3 linked regions of the Danio rerio genome follow. The protein of the gene in region 3 binds, or shares a complex with, the protein of the main gene of each other region. Links are inferred from orthologs where the notes say so. Each region holds a gene or a part of one and is shown on either strand. Other genes may lie near its edges.

Region 1 (5,375 bases), on a different chromosome or scaffold from region 3:
AGACTGCTGCCCCCGTGACTCGGCCGTGGAAAAGCAGTTGAAAATGAATAAATAAATGAATGTATTATTTATTGCTGCTGATTGTCTTTTTATTGATATAATATTTTATTATTATAGAAAAGTGATCTTTATAAAATGTTTTGCAATGATATAGACTCTCTCGTCCTACTAGAAGTTATTCTAACAGTAGTGAAAGAGCAGTTTTATATATCAGTAGATGCATATGAAGAGTTCAGATGCAAAAACCTCTAAATGGCATCAAAAGTTTTCTTCTAAAATTAGCATTTTTAACAAGCTTCGGTGAGTAGGTTTACTAATATCACTTTTATGGCAAAGAATAAGTCATTTTCATGGTCTTTAAAGTGAAATAACGCAACATAAACAAAGGAGGCTTCGAAAAAAGTTCAGATGGCACTTAAGGGGTTTTTCATTTGAACTCTTCATATATTCTGTAGAGCTATAACTATAATGTTATCAATTGTTGAGCTAAACAATACACAACAACCGAATCAGGTGAGTGACACAAGCAAGACTCACTGGTGTTCTGATGTATGTATGAGGATCTGGGAAATCAGGGAAGTGGCTGGGGATGTGTGCCGGGTGAGTGCGTTTCTGTCCAGCCGTCAGAGATTTTGGTACCACCGGAGCGTTTGTTATCGGAGCTGTGAAATGCATAAGTGTTACCAATTAAAACAGGAACAGTTACAGCAGAAAAATATAAATATTTAGATATAATAGAGACCTACGTGCTGTTATAACCATTCTTTGAGATCTTTTGGCGTACACTGGAAGAGTATCCACATTAAAACCTGCGATTGTGGAAAAGTAAATCCAGGATTAGCCTAAATCTCATTAGCATGACTAAACCATGTATATATATATATATATATTAAAAAAGAAGTTGAATCTTTAATTTGTCCTAACATTGAAAGTAAACCAACCCATTTCGACGAGAGTAATGACCACATCAGACAGAGTAGGGGTGCTTCTGGCTGTGTGCTCACAGTTTGCCTTTGCGCAACGTCCAACTTCTGTTATATCTATCAAAAGACAACAAGACTCTTAAAAATCAAAAAGTACCCAATTCACCTACAGCACATGTCGTTGGACTGTGGGGGGAAACCGGAGCAAACATGAGCTCTACTTATTAAAATATATTTAAGAATAAATGGTCATACTAGACACACAAAAACATGTATTTATCCATTTATGACCTATTAATAAACTATAACTTAGCAGACAAATAAGTAAACTAGTAATCTAAATAAATAGTGAACAAGTAAAAAGATTTAAAATGACAATAATTAAAATTTTTGGGAGCTACACTTTTCTAAATACTGTATGCCTGACAAAAAAAAAAAACTTTTTTAGTGTATACAATATTAGTCTTATTGACATTTCAGTGATAATTTATTTGCTCAGATTAATATATTTTTAAATAGACACATTCTAATGTACAGAAAAGTGTAAAGTAATTGTATTGTTTTGTGAGCTTTTATTCAACTATAGCTCAATTTTGGTTCCCAAACTGTGGTTAAATTAGAACATAGAACCATAAATTACATACAAATACACACAAACGTAAAAAGTAAAACGCGATGATTTGTGATATTGGTATGCATAAGCTTTTAAATTTTGTCAAGATGAGCTGCTTAAAGTAAATGAAGGACTCACAGCTCTGCATCATCTCAGTGAGTGTCTCCACAACAGCTTTCTCAGCGCTATCAAAGCCACACTCGGTCAGCAGAGCACTGACCACCACTTGCAGCGTGCGTCTCCGAGCCAGCTGATAGTTCTCTGTGGGACTGGTGCAGGTCTTACTGCTCCCCGAGCGCTGGAAATAATAAAATAAAAGATGATAAGAAGGTTTTACAGATCAGGAAGTTTTAAAACATATCTGCATTTAATACAGCAAGGCATTTCTTTGAAAATGCAATAAAAGAGATTAAGTTAGGGCTAAATGAACTGCATTTATTTGAAATGTTTTACAATTAGTATGGTTCCTATACTGTAAGCTTCTGAGTTTTTAAAAGGTTTCAAAGTTTATTCTAAGATTAGTGTTGAAGAAAGAGGAATTGTATTTAGTGGTAATGACTAGGCCCACACGAAATCTGCGCGCGCAGATTTTCCGCAGAATTTCTGCAGATTTTTAGCCCATCATTAATTCTGTTTATTTACTTGAGTAAATGTGTAAATCTAAATTTATTCAGTTTTTATTCAGTAATTTATTACTTTTTGTTTCATATATTAAGGTTTTAGTTTTGATACTCCGCTGGATACTCCCAAAATAATTCTGCAGAAATCCGCAGATTTTTACCAAAAATCTCAGCAGAAATAGCAAAAAACATCTGCAGATTCCGTCTGGCCCTAGTTATGACTCATGAATATAAAACTTTGAAAAAATAATGGAAAAGTTAGTCATGTAATTAAGTTTTTATGAAAATCAAAACGTTTTGAGGTAGATTTACTTTACTGGAAATTACTATAACTCACATTGTGGAATCGTATGTGATTTTAAGTTAATTTCTGCTTAGTTAAGTTGGTTTTATATGGCACATTCATAAAGTGACAACTTGTGAGTCGCTATATTGTTTTCCATGCTACTTTGATTATTAAGTGTAAGGGATCAACCTATATTAAAACATTGGTCAGGGATTTATTAGGTCATTTAAAGGAACCAAATCTTGAAGATCTGAATTACTTGATTCAACTCAATTGAGTCAAACTGAATCAGATTAAAAGCTTTACCTACTAAATCTACCATTTGTCCAGCAAATAGAAGACATCGTATTTTACCAATCCTGTTTAAATTAATTCCATGGCCAACGATAACATAACAGTATTGGGTAAAATTTTAGCTAGGTAATGACTTCAAAACAACATTATCACTGCTGCTAATAGGATTTCCCTATTTAGAATTTGCAAACAACATGTTTCTGAACTTATATTATTAAGGACAAAGTCTGAATGTGTGAATATAAAGCCACCTTTACCTCAATCTTTGTTAATGTTTTTTTATTTTTTATGGATGGATCCTTAACAAAAAGTTAGGGATTTTGTAAGGCTGTGCTTATAATTACTGAGGCAAAAATGCATCTATTGCATTCATTTTTGCATCTGAGAATCTGGTTAAGATTACTATTCCACTGTGGATTGCATTAAGAGTGTGGTATTAAATTATGGTATGTAAAACTGCCCATTCCTGTCAATAATCTAGTTTACTGTTAATATATTATGCTAACCCAATTCTCCATGCACAATAACTTGTCATTATGAGTGACATTAGCATTGTTTCATAGAAAACTCCTGCTGGGAGAAAATTGAGTTTGTACAGTTGCAGTACAGTAAAGTTTGTGATTTTCGGCTTTAACAAGACGTTTACCAGTTATATAAAACACTGTTTGACGACACTGATCTGCAACAGCTCACTATATAATTGATATATATATATATATATATATATATATATATATATATATATATATATATATATATATATATATATATATATATACAGACGTGTTTACATACGATACGGTGTCTGCTTTAAAATATATTACACAAGTGCCTTTAAGTCTAATTTTGATCAAAAAACTAAAGTTAGTATTGTTTGGCTGAGCCAGCAGGGTGAAGGAAAGAGTAACGTTAGCGTTAATGAAAGGAGATATTTAACGTACGCTTCCGGAGTTTAAAGATCCGCTCCCCATCATTACCGAGTCTGCCATTTTAGAACTCTAGTGGTTTTTCCTCTGATGTTTAGCATTCGCAAATAAACTCATTGTGCGTTCTGCGTTTGCTAAAAACTGTATTTGGTGTTTTTATATTGGGCGAAAATGGCAACCCTATCAACATTTCCAACAGGGCGACCGGAAGGTTGTTGTTTTCTGTGCAATTCCAAAATAAAAGTCAAACAAAGAAATAACTGTTGCATAGCCATTTCCTAAAAATGAAAGCAAAAGTAGAAATTTGCATTTTTTGAAGTCATCGTCAATACGGTATTGTAGCATGCTCATAAAACTTTTATTAAGTTATTCTAAAGACTTCTAAATATGTTATCTTTATTTTTATTTTAATGATTTGAATAAAAGAACCATCACACACGAACTAGCTGTTAATGTTAATAGTTAAATGTCGAACATCTTACAGAAATGTCAAGTCTTTTAGATAACAAAATGTTCACATCCTTGCTTTCTACATGATTCTTTAGTAAAACGGTAAACTGACACAGAAGATTTAATTTTTAAGTTCTGACCTGAAAACGAGGTACAAAAGCTAGGTAAATCAGTTTTAATCCTAGTTTTATTATAATATTTGAATCGTGGGAGTAGACACAAACACCTCAGACCTTAATGCTACCAAATTATTATATTATTTTATGTATTTTTCATATAATTTGACATGTTAATGGGTGTCTGTGTGTTTTTATGTTCTGCGGAGCAGGAATCTGCTGAAAAACAGCATTCATGCTGAGTCAGGCCCAATTATCTTTTAATCTTTTCATGTTAAAAAATTATAAATAAATAAAAATTTTCCATGGAGAGCACAGATGATGGTTGCTTAGCAAAGGCTGATACCACAAATGCTTTGAAATGAGTGGACAAAGCGAGACAGACCAACAAGGCTTTAAAACGGATGAGGATAATAAACTTTCATCATGATGATGAACTAAAATGTCACATAAGTGCAGTAGACATGATAAAACCAAAACAATGTCTTGTCTTGAGAATATCTGAGAAAGACTGTAAAGGACCCACTTTCTTCTGGAAATAGCTCATTTGCATTTAAAGAGATGCACATTTTTTGGGTCATTTTTTTTTTTGCAGCATGACATAAAAAAATAAATGATCTGTAGCTTAATTTGAGCTGTAGCTGCACATTCTGTGGACACAGAAATGCATTACGCCTATTTATTATGAAGCAAAATTGGTCTCCTTTATTGTGTCTTAGTATATCCGGTAGATCTGCATTCTGCATATGGGGCAGAAGGTTTAGCTTAATGTGTTAAAGGTCAGATTTGCCAATCAAAATGTATCATTGTGAAGCAATCTCAAATGACAATATTTCTGTAGTAAATTTATATTTATTGATTTAAATAAATAAATATTGTGTCATTCTATTTTCTAAAGATTGGAAATCATAACAGTAATTCAAATAATTCATTTTATTGCAGCGATTGCTTTAGATGTAGGAAATAAAAAGAAGTGTAAATATAGTTGTGTGTGTATTGTGAAAAATGCTTTGCAACTATTTATCTAGGGGTATATTAATATTCTATAATCTAGATTTTGAAAAATAAATATATAACAATAATAACTAATTCTGCGGTGTTAACAGCAGCTGATTTTATGTTGTTGTCTGTAAAAACAGCTTTATCT
Region 2 (5,652 bases), on a different chromosome or scaffold from region 3:
ACCATCAATCATTTTGTTAGAGGATGGTGAATTAATAAAAGATTGCTGCAGTTCCAATCCAAGTTTTATTTGTAGAGAAAATTAAAAAGCACTGTAGTGTTTGGGTGTTCTGTGTTTGTCTGAGGTAATTAGTCTACCAAAATGTGTATATTCCATACAAAGTATAAAGCTGATCACTCAGTTCTTGTAACATGACTCGCAGTGCGGCATTCTGAAAAGTTTTTTCAACTTGGTGCGCCTGGAATAAGTGAGCGTGTCGCTCTTAACATGCACACTCAAAACGCACGTCTCCATTGGAAATAACGGACTTGTGCATGCGAAAGGTGTGATAAGTGAACAGCCCATTTCACGGCAGCCTCACAAAGAGGTCAATAGTCTTTACATGGCTAATAAAAAATCCTTGGACATGTAGAATAGTACATGCAACTACTTCTTACATGTGTTTAAGCAGAACATCAGAGTCTTTCTCGAGTTTGACGGTACGCACACACACACACACACACACATACACATACACATAAACAAACACACACACATTATTTATTTGTTTGATTTGCATTAGTCTGTTCAAGAGACACCTTTCTACACCTTTACTATGTGATTTTTTTGCCTTATGTCTGTTTTAGAGATTTGTTACAGGTCTATGATAACGATGGAATAATTTTCCTTTGGAAATATATTTCAGATTCACACTATAAAACGTCTATGTGTGTCAAAATCGTGATTAAAATAGAAATCGCAATATTGTTCAAAAAAATTATGATAGGTTTATTTTGCCAAGAACGCACAGCCCTACTCTTAACATCCTACACGTTTAAAAAAAACATTTATCTGGGTTTGTTGGCAGCCAATGTACACAATATGATATACATTCACTATTTAACTATCCTTATTATACTGATGTCTGTTACACTGTGGTGTCACATAATAATATTTGAACATTATGATCATGTCATGCTATCGGTCTACACAATTTACTTATGTCAACTAATTAAAGCAACGGGCACCAGCAGAATTTGGTTTCTCCATGCAAGCACATGGTTTAGCCTTGAGTAACCAACAAACTGTCACTATAAGTCTGTAATAATATGTAATAATATATTAGTTGTAATAATATGCTGTCCTTACAGCTATGTAAGTGGCTCATAAACGCATACTGTTGTTATGAATCTCATAGCAAACAACTAGGCATGGGATGATAACCGTTTTTAGGGTATACCACGCTTTGCAAAAGTCAAGGTTTTAAAACAGAAAACATTTTCTGCCATAAGTTGTTTAAAATCACGTGGCTCTGGTGATGCGCGAAATTGAGATAAAGGGCAAGAAAAAAAAACTGAACGGGAGAGAGGAAAATCTGTTTTTTTTTGTTTTTTTTTTTATCGTAGCAGATATAAATAGAAAATAAGCACATGTTGGGCATGATCCTTATGATGAAGAGTTTTCTACTGAACTCAAATATATTTGCCTGTCATCGAGGCGGTAGATACTGTATAAGCTGTTATGTTACATGAAAAATACTATAGTAAATTCTATAATGTTTGGAAGCATACTATAGATAATTACTTGAATTAAATAGTAATTATATTGTTGCTATGGTACAGCGCAACTGTAGTAATAAGCAAATTATTCAACAGGCTTCAGTTTTCTTCACTTTAATTATACACCATCACGATGCACCAGTTTACACTAACGTTACACTATTTATTGCAGTTTATCAGTTTACTTCACTACAGTATTCTGTAGCATTCATTAACAAAGAGTTGTACACATTATATTTTTTACTATGTGTTTAAAAACATGTTTATTATAAATTACTATAGTTCCCCCCTGTGATATCTTCCAGACAACACGAAATAACATGAAAGCATACAAAAGCATGGATGCACAGTCTACATTATTATTATATTATTATTATTATCTTTGTAAGGGGGAAAAGTGCTCTACAATAATAACAGTCCAGATTTGTAGCAAGGGTTGCATTTATTTTATTTTTTTGTTCGGTCGATGAACTTGCCATCAACAAACTTTCACCGCTGCTGCACATCTCTATGTTAACATTACAGCTGTTTATTCCACCTAAACACCAGTAAAGACGGAGATTTTATTGCAGTGATTACATGGCAGGGAATGTTATTTATAATCTCCTGGACTTTGTATAATTTTGGTGTTGTTTGTACATGATTTTTATATAAAACACTAACATATTTATACACATAGCTAGGCCTGTATAGCATCTTTATTAGTGCTGTCAAGCAAATTATCGCGTTCAATTAGTTTGTACACATAGATGTCTTGAACAAATGTTTATGTTACCTTTTCTTCTGTTTTTCAGCCAGTTTGGAGTTCTATAAAAGCGGTTCTGCATTTCTTATTTTGGCTGATTTTAAGAATCATAAACAACATAAAACAGAAACATTTGATGTTCTGATACCGATTCTTGTGTAGAAGAATCACTTTCTGCCCTCCATCTGAGTCTTGCGCGTGATCAATGACGTCATGTGAAAACAACCTATTCCATTCCTATGGTATATGTAAGATTTTTTTTGTTCGTTTTTTAGGACAACAGTATCTCCAACAGAAAAGATATCCAAAGATGCTGTTTTAAATTGTAAAGAGATCTGTGTTACTTCATGTTCTTAAAACTAATTAAGACAGCAGAATTTAATTACTTAGCCTGACATGTTTACTGTTCCAAAAATATTTTAAATGCTTAAAATAGATCATGTTCAAAGGTAAAAATGTTTTTATTACCAGACATTAAAAAATATATATATATATATTTTAAAGCAGTAATCACCATACGGTCAAACCGTGATATTTTTATCCAAGATTATACCATCAGAAACTATTACTGGCTCATGCCTACAAACAACACTATAAAGAACACAAGTATTCAAACACTTTTAATTAAAGTATGTACATTTGTCCAGTGACTTTTTTTCCTAATATAGGACACAAACTGACCTGAGGAAGCCGCAAAATAAACTGACTCTCCAGTTCATGAGGAGCATCTTCTTTGCTTTTAGTGCCGACCTTTCCCACTGTAAGAGAGACAACTTAAAATGTTACATACTGGTTGATATTTATTCATAAAATAAACTGATAAAGTCCAATAATTTGTATTAAATGTTAATAAATACACTTAGGAATATAACGTTAGCATACGTACTAAATGATTAGCATGACCATGTACCACGGTACTTGCATGTAGTTGTAATTACATGGTACTTATTACCGTTTTACGAGTTCAAACGATGGTAATACCACAGTAATACCCCAATGTCAATAGAAAAGGGAGTGCGTGCATATTTGTACCTTTTGTTTTTGAGGTCATCTTTGGCTCTTAGTTCTGCAAAGAAATAGAATATAATACAATACATGTATACAGCCGCATATAAATGGCTACAGGCGTTTAAATACATTATAAAAGTATTATTTAAGAAAAACGTGTTTATCTACGAGTGATAAAATACTAATAATGTAGCACAATTCAAAGCTGTTAATAAACATACTCACCAAAATCCTGTGAGAATCTTACAGGCTAATGCTACATATGCGAAGCTAACATTAGCCTTATTATATATAACACGAATATCGTTGACGTAATTGTTTAATAAATATTCGCTTCTTGAAACAATATAGAGCGCAGTAGTAATAATAGTAATGCTAACATTAATTCCAGTACTTACAGTAAATAATATGATTGTTATCAGAGAACAGCTAAATTGAGCACATAAACATAGCTGTGCCTCTATGAAGTGTCTCGCGGAAGCTCGGCGTATTTTAGCGCTGCACTGCCACCTGCTGTCCGTTTTGCATAGATATGTCCGTTTTGTAGAAGCAGCTAACTTTTATAAAACCACGCCAATACTCTAACAAATGCTAAAGTCTGCTTACACAACCCCCAGAAAATATGACGCTTATGTAATTGCTTTACTAAACGCTTGATAAATATGAAATCAACACAAGGGACCAGGATTTCTGCTGATGTATCAATAGTCAAAAAAACATGTAGTAAAGTATCGTCCCATATGGTCTAGCGGTTAGGATTCCTGGTTTTCACCCAGGCGGCCCGGGTTCGACTCCCGGTATGGGAAGTAAGGTTTTTAGATTAAAACGTTTTAACCGAGACAACCTTCTCAGAAAAGATTTTATATATATATATATATACATATATATATATATATACACACACACACACACACACACACACACACACACAGTTATATGATTACATGAAAATGTTTACAAAGACATTGGGTTGAGAATATCCAACGTAATGTACTGTAGAGGTAAAGCTTTTATGATTACAACAGTTTTGTCTCTTCTATAATATCCAGCTGTGTTCTATATGACCTTTTATTCATCACTCTGACCATGCTTTGAGAGAACTTTAAAATGGTCTATTTGTAATTTATATTAACCCTGTCATTCTTTTTGTTTCTCTTTTTGATTTGCTTTGTTCTGTTGTTTATTTTGTGTTGTAACTTGTTATAGGGTTTATACATTTTCTGTATCTGTACTCTTAACAATAACAAAAGAAAAAAATGTTTGCAATAATTTTTTAGTTTAGGTACAGATATTAGATTGTTAATACTGTGGATGGAAGAATGAAGATTGCATGCTTTGTAGCATGTTGCTGACATGATTAGCATGCTAAAGATAACCTATTTAACCTATTAAAGATATGCATAATATAGATAAATAGATGCGCTGCATAAATCATATGCTGGATAAGTTTGTGGTTCATTCCTCTGTGGTGTCCACTGATTAATAAAGGGACTAAGCCGAAAATAAAATGAATGAATAAATGTTGCAACTAGGTAGCCTAACTTTTTGATCTGTGCCCTTTGCTAAAACAGTGGAAGAAGAAATGTGCATGGGGATTAATGATTCATGTGTGAACAATACTTGAAATAAAATAAATAAATATTTATTTTTGAAAGATGACACATTCGATGTAAGCACATGATATTTAAGAGAGTAAATGACAGCAGTTCAGTGCTGGGCTTGGGTCAAACACACATGCCATCAACAAATAGGTTATCATCTAATATAATGTTATGAAGTATACGGTATATGTATGTAAATATGTCATTTGCCACACTTGTTAAGTTCTTGAAAAGTTTGTAAATGCATCTGGAAAGTGCTTGAAAAGTGCTTTAAAGAGTTTTATTATTAACAATATTTTTCTTTAATTCTGAGAAGATATGGTTTATAGTTATAGCTAAACAAAGTAAGTTTAACAGTAAATTACTATTATAGTTAGTAAATATTTTTTGTAAGAAACAGTAGGGTATGAAAAGTGTTTCTTTTGGAAATTTAGAAAATAAAATGGGGGAACACTAGCTAGCATTTCCAGAGAGGTGTAACCAAACCTTTTCAAAGTCTGAGGACAATATATCAAAGAATGTATAAATAATTCCCCAGACCACAAACAACAGTATTACCAATGAATTCCCCAAACAGGCTTTCCGATAATGGGAGGGGCAGACAGAGGCATTAAGGGCTCATCTGAATTTTATGACACCACAAACTGTACACGCAAAACTATAAAGGGACTGTCTACATTTATTTGATGTTATGACAACGCTCACTCACCTGCAAGGACACCATCGTTAACCAAAACCATAAGCTCGTCTCATAACAAAC
Region 3 (4,070 bases):
TGGTTGAAAGTTTTATCTCCTATAATATTTCTTGCTGGTACGGAAATCTTAGAAGCAAGTATAAACTTGCAAAGATTGTTAATATGGCTAGTAAGATCATAATTGACCCCGAGAAGTAGCTTGTGGAACTGTATACAAACCAGACCAGACAGAAAGCCTCACGTCCTCTTTATTATGAATTTGAAAAGCTTCCTTCTGGTAGACGATACAGAGTACCGCAAAAACAAATAGTTTTTAGAAATCTTTTATACCGTCTGCTATTACCATACTGAATAAATGACCATGAAGTAGATTGTATGTCTAGGGTTGTGTGTTGGTAATCTGTGGTGTAGGAAGTTTTGTGTTTGTGATGTCTGGGAGGCCAAAAAATAAATTCCACAGGTGTGGGCAATAAAGTTTTCTAATTCTAATATAATCATATCAACAAGACAGGGCGTGCGCAAAGCAACTGCGATTAAAAGATCTGTTCAGCTAGCTGTGATCATCAGTCATCAAATGTGATCAAGAAAAGGTTTTACAAGTTTAAAATGTTTTTGAAACAGAGCATGTTTGTTATGATTTACAGTAATTTTACGGCCTCTCACCACAGCTGCATGTCAGTACAAATTTAAAAGACGACGCTTCAAGAGTGTACGTGGAGACACAAAAGAGGCATCTTAAATCTAGAAAATGGGGTAAAATAGGTGCCCTTAAGGTGTAAGGGATGGTCAATAATGTAAATAAAGATGTAGTTACATGCAAGTATTTAGTCAATCATAAATAAAACATGTGGAAATCTGCTAAATGACTTCAGTCAGACAAGGGTTAGAGATAAGCAAAAGAGTACTTTATTAAAAATAATCCTGGAGGATGACACCTGTTACGCACACGCACACACACAAAACACACACAGAGTAAGACCAGTTTTCTCAACAGACAGTTTTATACCTTTCAGTGCACGTACACTCAATTTGTGCCAAATTTCAAAAAAGATACATAACTAGTGGAACAGAAAAGATCTTGCTGTGGATTTCTAACTCCTGACTAAGAGTGCTACATTGTATCAGGCTATGGCCTTGGCCAGTACCAAACTGCTACTCTCCACAAAACATGTAGATTATCATGAGGTTCATTGAAAATGCAAATCATAAAACAAAAATTGTAACAAATGATTAATTTCTGTGTAAGTACATAATAAATTAAAGCCACTTAATATAAAGTGGGACCAACTGTAGCCATAAATGTTTTTAAGAATCAGCGTTTTACAGTTTATCTCAGTCACTGTGGTCCATTTCTCAGATCAGAATTGAAATTCTCTAAACTTCCTGTTCAATCTTCACATCATTGTGTCACTTTTGCACAATGCTTTTGTACATCCATGCAAATGATTATGTGCAGTTCTCTGCTCTTTCCTACATTATCAATTGCTAATATATTTTGGTCAGCATGACATTATTTTGGTCTCTGTTGAATAGTCTCACCCCCACAACATTTAATATCTTGTTCATGGCATAGGTCTTAGCATGCAGAATGGCTGAACAAGTTGTCATAATATTTTGCTGCATTTTCTGTACATTTACATTAGACTTTTTATTTTTCCTAAATCTGTCTACAATTGGTAAATTTCTCTCATGTGAGTCTTGTCTTCTGATGAAGGTGCATCTCAAAGGAGATTCCCATGTTCACATTTCTACTTTAGTTTAGTTTTTTCTTTGTGCTATGCAGTGCTGTCTTTTCCTTTCTGTATCACAGAGACATGATGTAAACAAATCACAGTACAAACAGCAAAATAAATAACAAATCACTAATAAAATATAATTATGGATATATCAGTAATATTGAAAACATGACTTATAAGTAATGTGACTGTCTTATCCGTACACATTTCCATTTGAAATTTTCTGAAATATTCTGGCACTGACACATTCATTGACCCAGAAATTTAGTTTGAGAGTGTTTTGCTATTTGTAAGCATTGTTTAGAGAAAGTAACTTACTCTTTTGAAAATTTCAATTCTGATCTGAAAAAAACTGTAAAAAGCCTTTTATGTGACTCTTAAGAAAGGAATAAATGACATATAATTGTAATTGAATAAATTATTTAATATATTAATAATTATACTTAAATTATTAATTTATCACAGTTACAAATATAAAAAAGTGAAAGATGATTCTAATTTTACATATTTTTGGTCAAATAAATGCAGCCTGGTGAGCAAAGGAGACTTTGTTATAAAATCCATTTGCAAGTGTGAAAAGAGCATTATTCAGGTGACGCTTGTTTGTTTGTGTGTGTGCGTTTTTGGTTAAGCGCGTAAAGAGCACTTGCATAAATTGTCCGATGTCTAAATATGCACTTATCTTTCATTTCCGAAATTGCAGTACAGCATAATTACTCATTCTTTTGTCTCTCTCCTTAAGCAGGAACTGCACGCATTACAGCATTACCCACGGCAAAAAGGCTGAGATTAATCATGATTAAATATTTAAATCAATTGACAGCCTCAATTTTTACATTTTCATCTGATCCCAGCAGATGTCTGAGTGTGTTTGGACTGTTGATCGTCTCTAATTGCTATTTATATTTCGCAGTCACGCTCGCGACAAGAGGACCCCGAGCAGCTGCGGCTCAAACAGAAGGCCAAAGAGGTGAAATGACACACTTCACAAGTTTATCTAGTCAGAGGACCATTGTGTTTGATTATGGGTCAGAGCTGATGCGAGTGTTTTTGTGTGTGTGGCTACAGATGCAGCAACAAGAACTGGCTCAGATTCGACAGAGAGACGCCAACTTGACGGCGTTGGCGGCCATCGGACCCAGAAAGAAAAGAAAACCAGATTCTCCTTCGCTCGGGATCGACACAGAGGTACTGAATGGCGGTCTGCTGCCCTTCTGTGGCCCCTTTAAATCATTTAGCACCTGTTGGGCAGGTATGAGATGTCAGGTTGAGCTTCAGGGGTCTCAGATTTTCACAAACAGGCAGATAGGATGGAGTAAAAGCATGGTAATGCATAGACATTTTCAGATGATTTATTTTTGACATAGTTGTACATATACACTCATCGGCCACTTTATTAGGTACACCTGTCCAGCTGCTCATTAACGCTAATTTCTAATCTGCCAATTACATGGCAGCAACTCAATGCATTCAGGCATGTCAACATGGTCAAGACGATGTGCTGCAGTTGCTGAAAGGTGATTTAATGACTTTGAACATGGCATGGTTGTTGGTGCCAGACAGGCTGGTCTGAGTATTTCAGAAACTGCTGATCTACTGGGATTTTGATGGACAACCATCTCTAGGGATTACAGAGAATAGTCAGAAAAAGACAAATATATCCAGAAAGCAGCAGTTCTGTGGGCACATATGCCTCGTTGAGTTCAGAAGAGAATGACCAGACTTGTTGGAGCAGATAGAAAGGCAACAGTAACTCAAATAACCACTTGTTACAACCGAGGTATGTAGAGGAGCATCTCTGAATGCACAACACGTCAAACTTTGAGGCAGATGGGCTACAGCACCAGAAGACCACACCGGGTGCCACTCCTGTCAGCCAAGAACAGGAAACTGAGGCTACATTTTGCACAAGCTCACTAAAATTGGACAATAGAAGATTGGAAAAACGTTGCCTGGTTTGATGAGTCTTGATTTCTGCTGTCACATTTGGATGGTAGAGCAGAATATGGCATCAACAGCATGAAAGCATGGATCCATCCTGCCTTAAATCAATGTTTCAGGCTGCTGGTGGTGGTGTGGGAGATATTTTCTTGGCCCATTAGCACCAATTGAGCATTTTGTCAAAGTCTACCTGAGAGTATTGTAGCTGACCATGTTCATCCCTTTATGATCACAGTGTACCCATCTTCTGATGGCTACTTCCAACAGGATAACGCATCATTATGTCAAATCGCAAATCATCTCAGACTGGTTCCTTGAACATGAGCATGAGTTCACTGTACTTAAATGGCCTTCACAGTCACCAGCACTCAATCCAATAAAGCACCATAAAGATGTGGTGGAATGGGAAATTTGCATCATGGATGTGCAGCCGACAAATCTGCTGTAACTGTGTGATGCTATCATGTCAAAA

What was found.
Region 1: taf4a (region 3) and taf8 share a complex: the UniProt entries of both Homo sapiens proteins name them as parts of the TFIID basal transcription factor complex. The link is inferred for Danio rerio from reciprocal best matches to the Homo sapiens genes TAF4 and TAF8.
Region 2: taf4a (region 3) and taf7 share a complex: the UniProt entries of both Homo sapiens proteins name them as parts of the TFIID basal transcription factor complex. The link is inferred for Danio rerio from reciprocal best matches to the Homo sapiens genes TAF4 and TAF7.

The regions. Positions count from the first base shown.
Region 1 is NC_133198.1:35,334,639-35,340,013, reverse strand, and holds the start of taf8 (transcription initiation factor TFIID subunit 8), read right to left. Parts: upstream 3,796-5,375; 5' UTR 3,726-3,795; coding exon 3,678-3,725; intron 1,835-3,677; coding exon 1,675-1,834; intron 1,041-1,674; coding exon 942-1,040; intron 810-941; coding exon 747-809; intron 663-746; coding exon 538-662; exon of another isoform or gene 1-537. UniProt on the Homo sapiens protein: The TFIID basal transcription factor complex plays a major role in the initiation of RNA polymerase II (Pol II)-dependent transcription.
Region 2 is NC_133189.1:45,449,208-45,454,859, reverse strand, and holds the start of taf7 (transcription initiation factor TFIID subunit 7), read right to left. Parts: upstream 3,796-5,652; 5' UTR 3,690-3,795; exon of another isoform or gene 3,517-3,689; intron 3,350-3,516; 5' UTR 3,335-3,349; coding exon 3,316-3,334; intron 3,042-3,315; coding exon 2,965-3,041; intron 1-2,964. UniProt on the Homo sapiens protein: The TFIID basal transcription factor complex plays a major role in the initiation of RNA polymerase II (Pol II)-dependent transcription.
Region 3 is NC_133186.1:23,050,656-23,054,725, reverse strand, and holds part of taf4a (transcription initiation factor TFIID subunit 4), read left to right. Parts: intron 1-2,570; coding exon 2,571-2,627; intron 2,628-2,725; coding exon 2,726-2,845; intron 2,846-4,070. UniProt on the Homo sapiens protein: The TFIID basal transcription factor complex plays a major role in the initiation of RNA polymerase II (Pol II)-dependent transcription.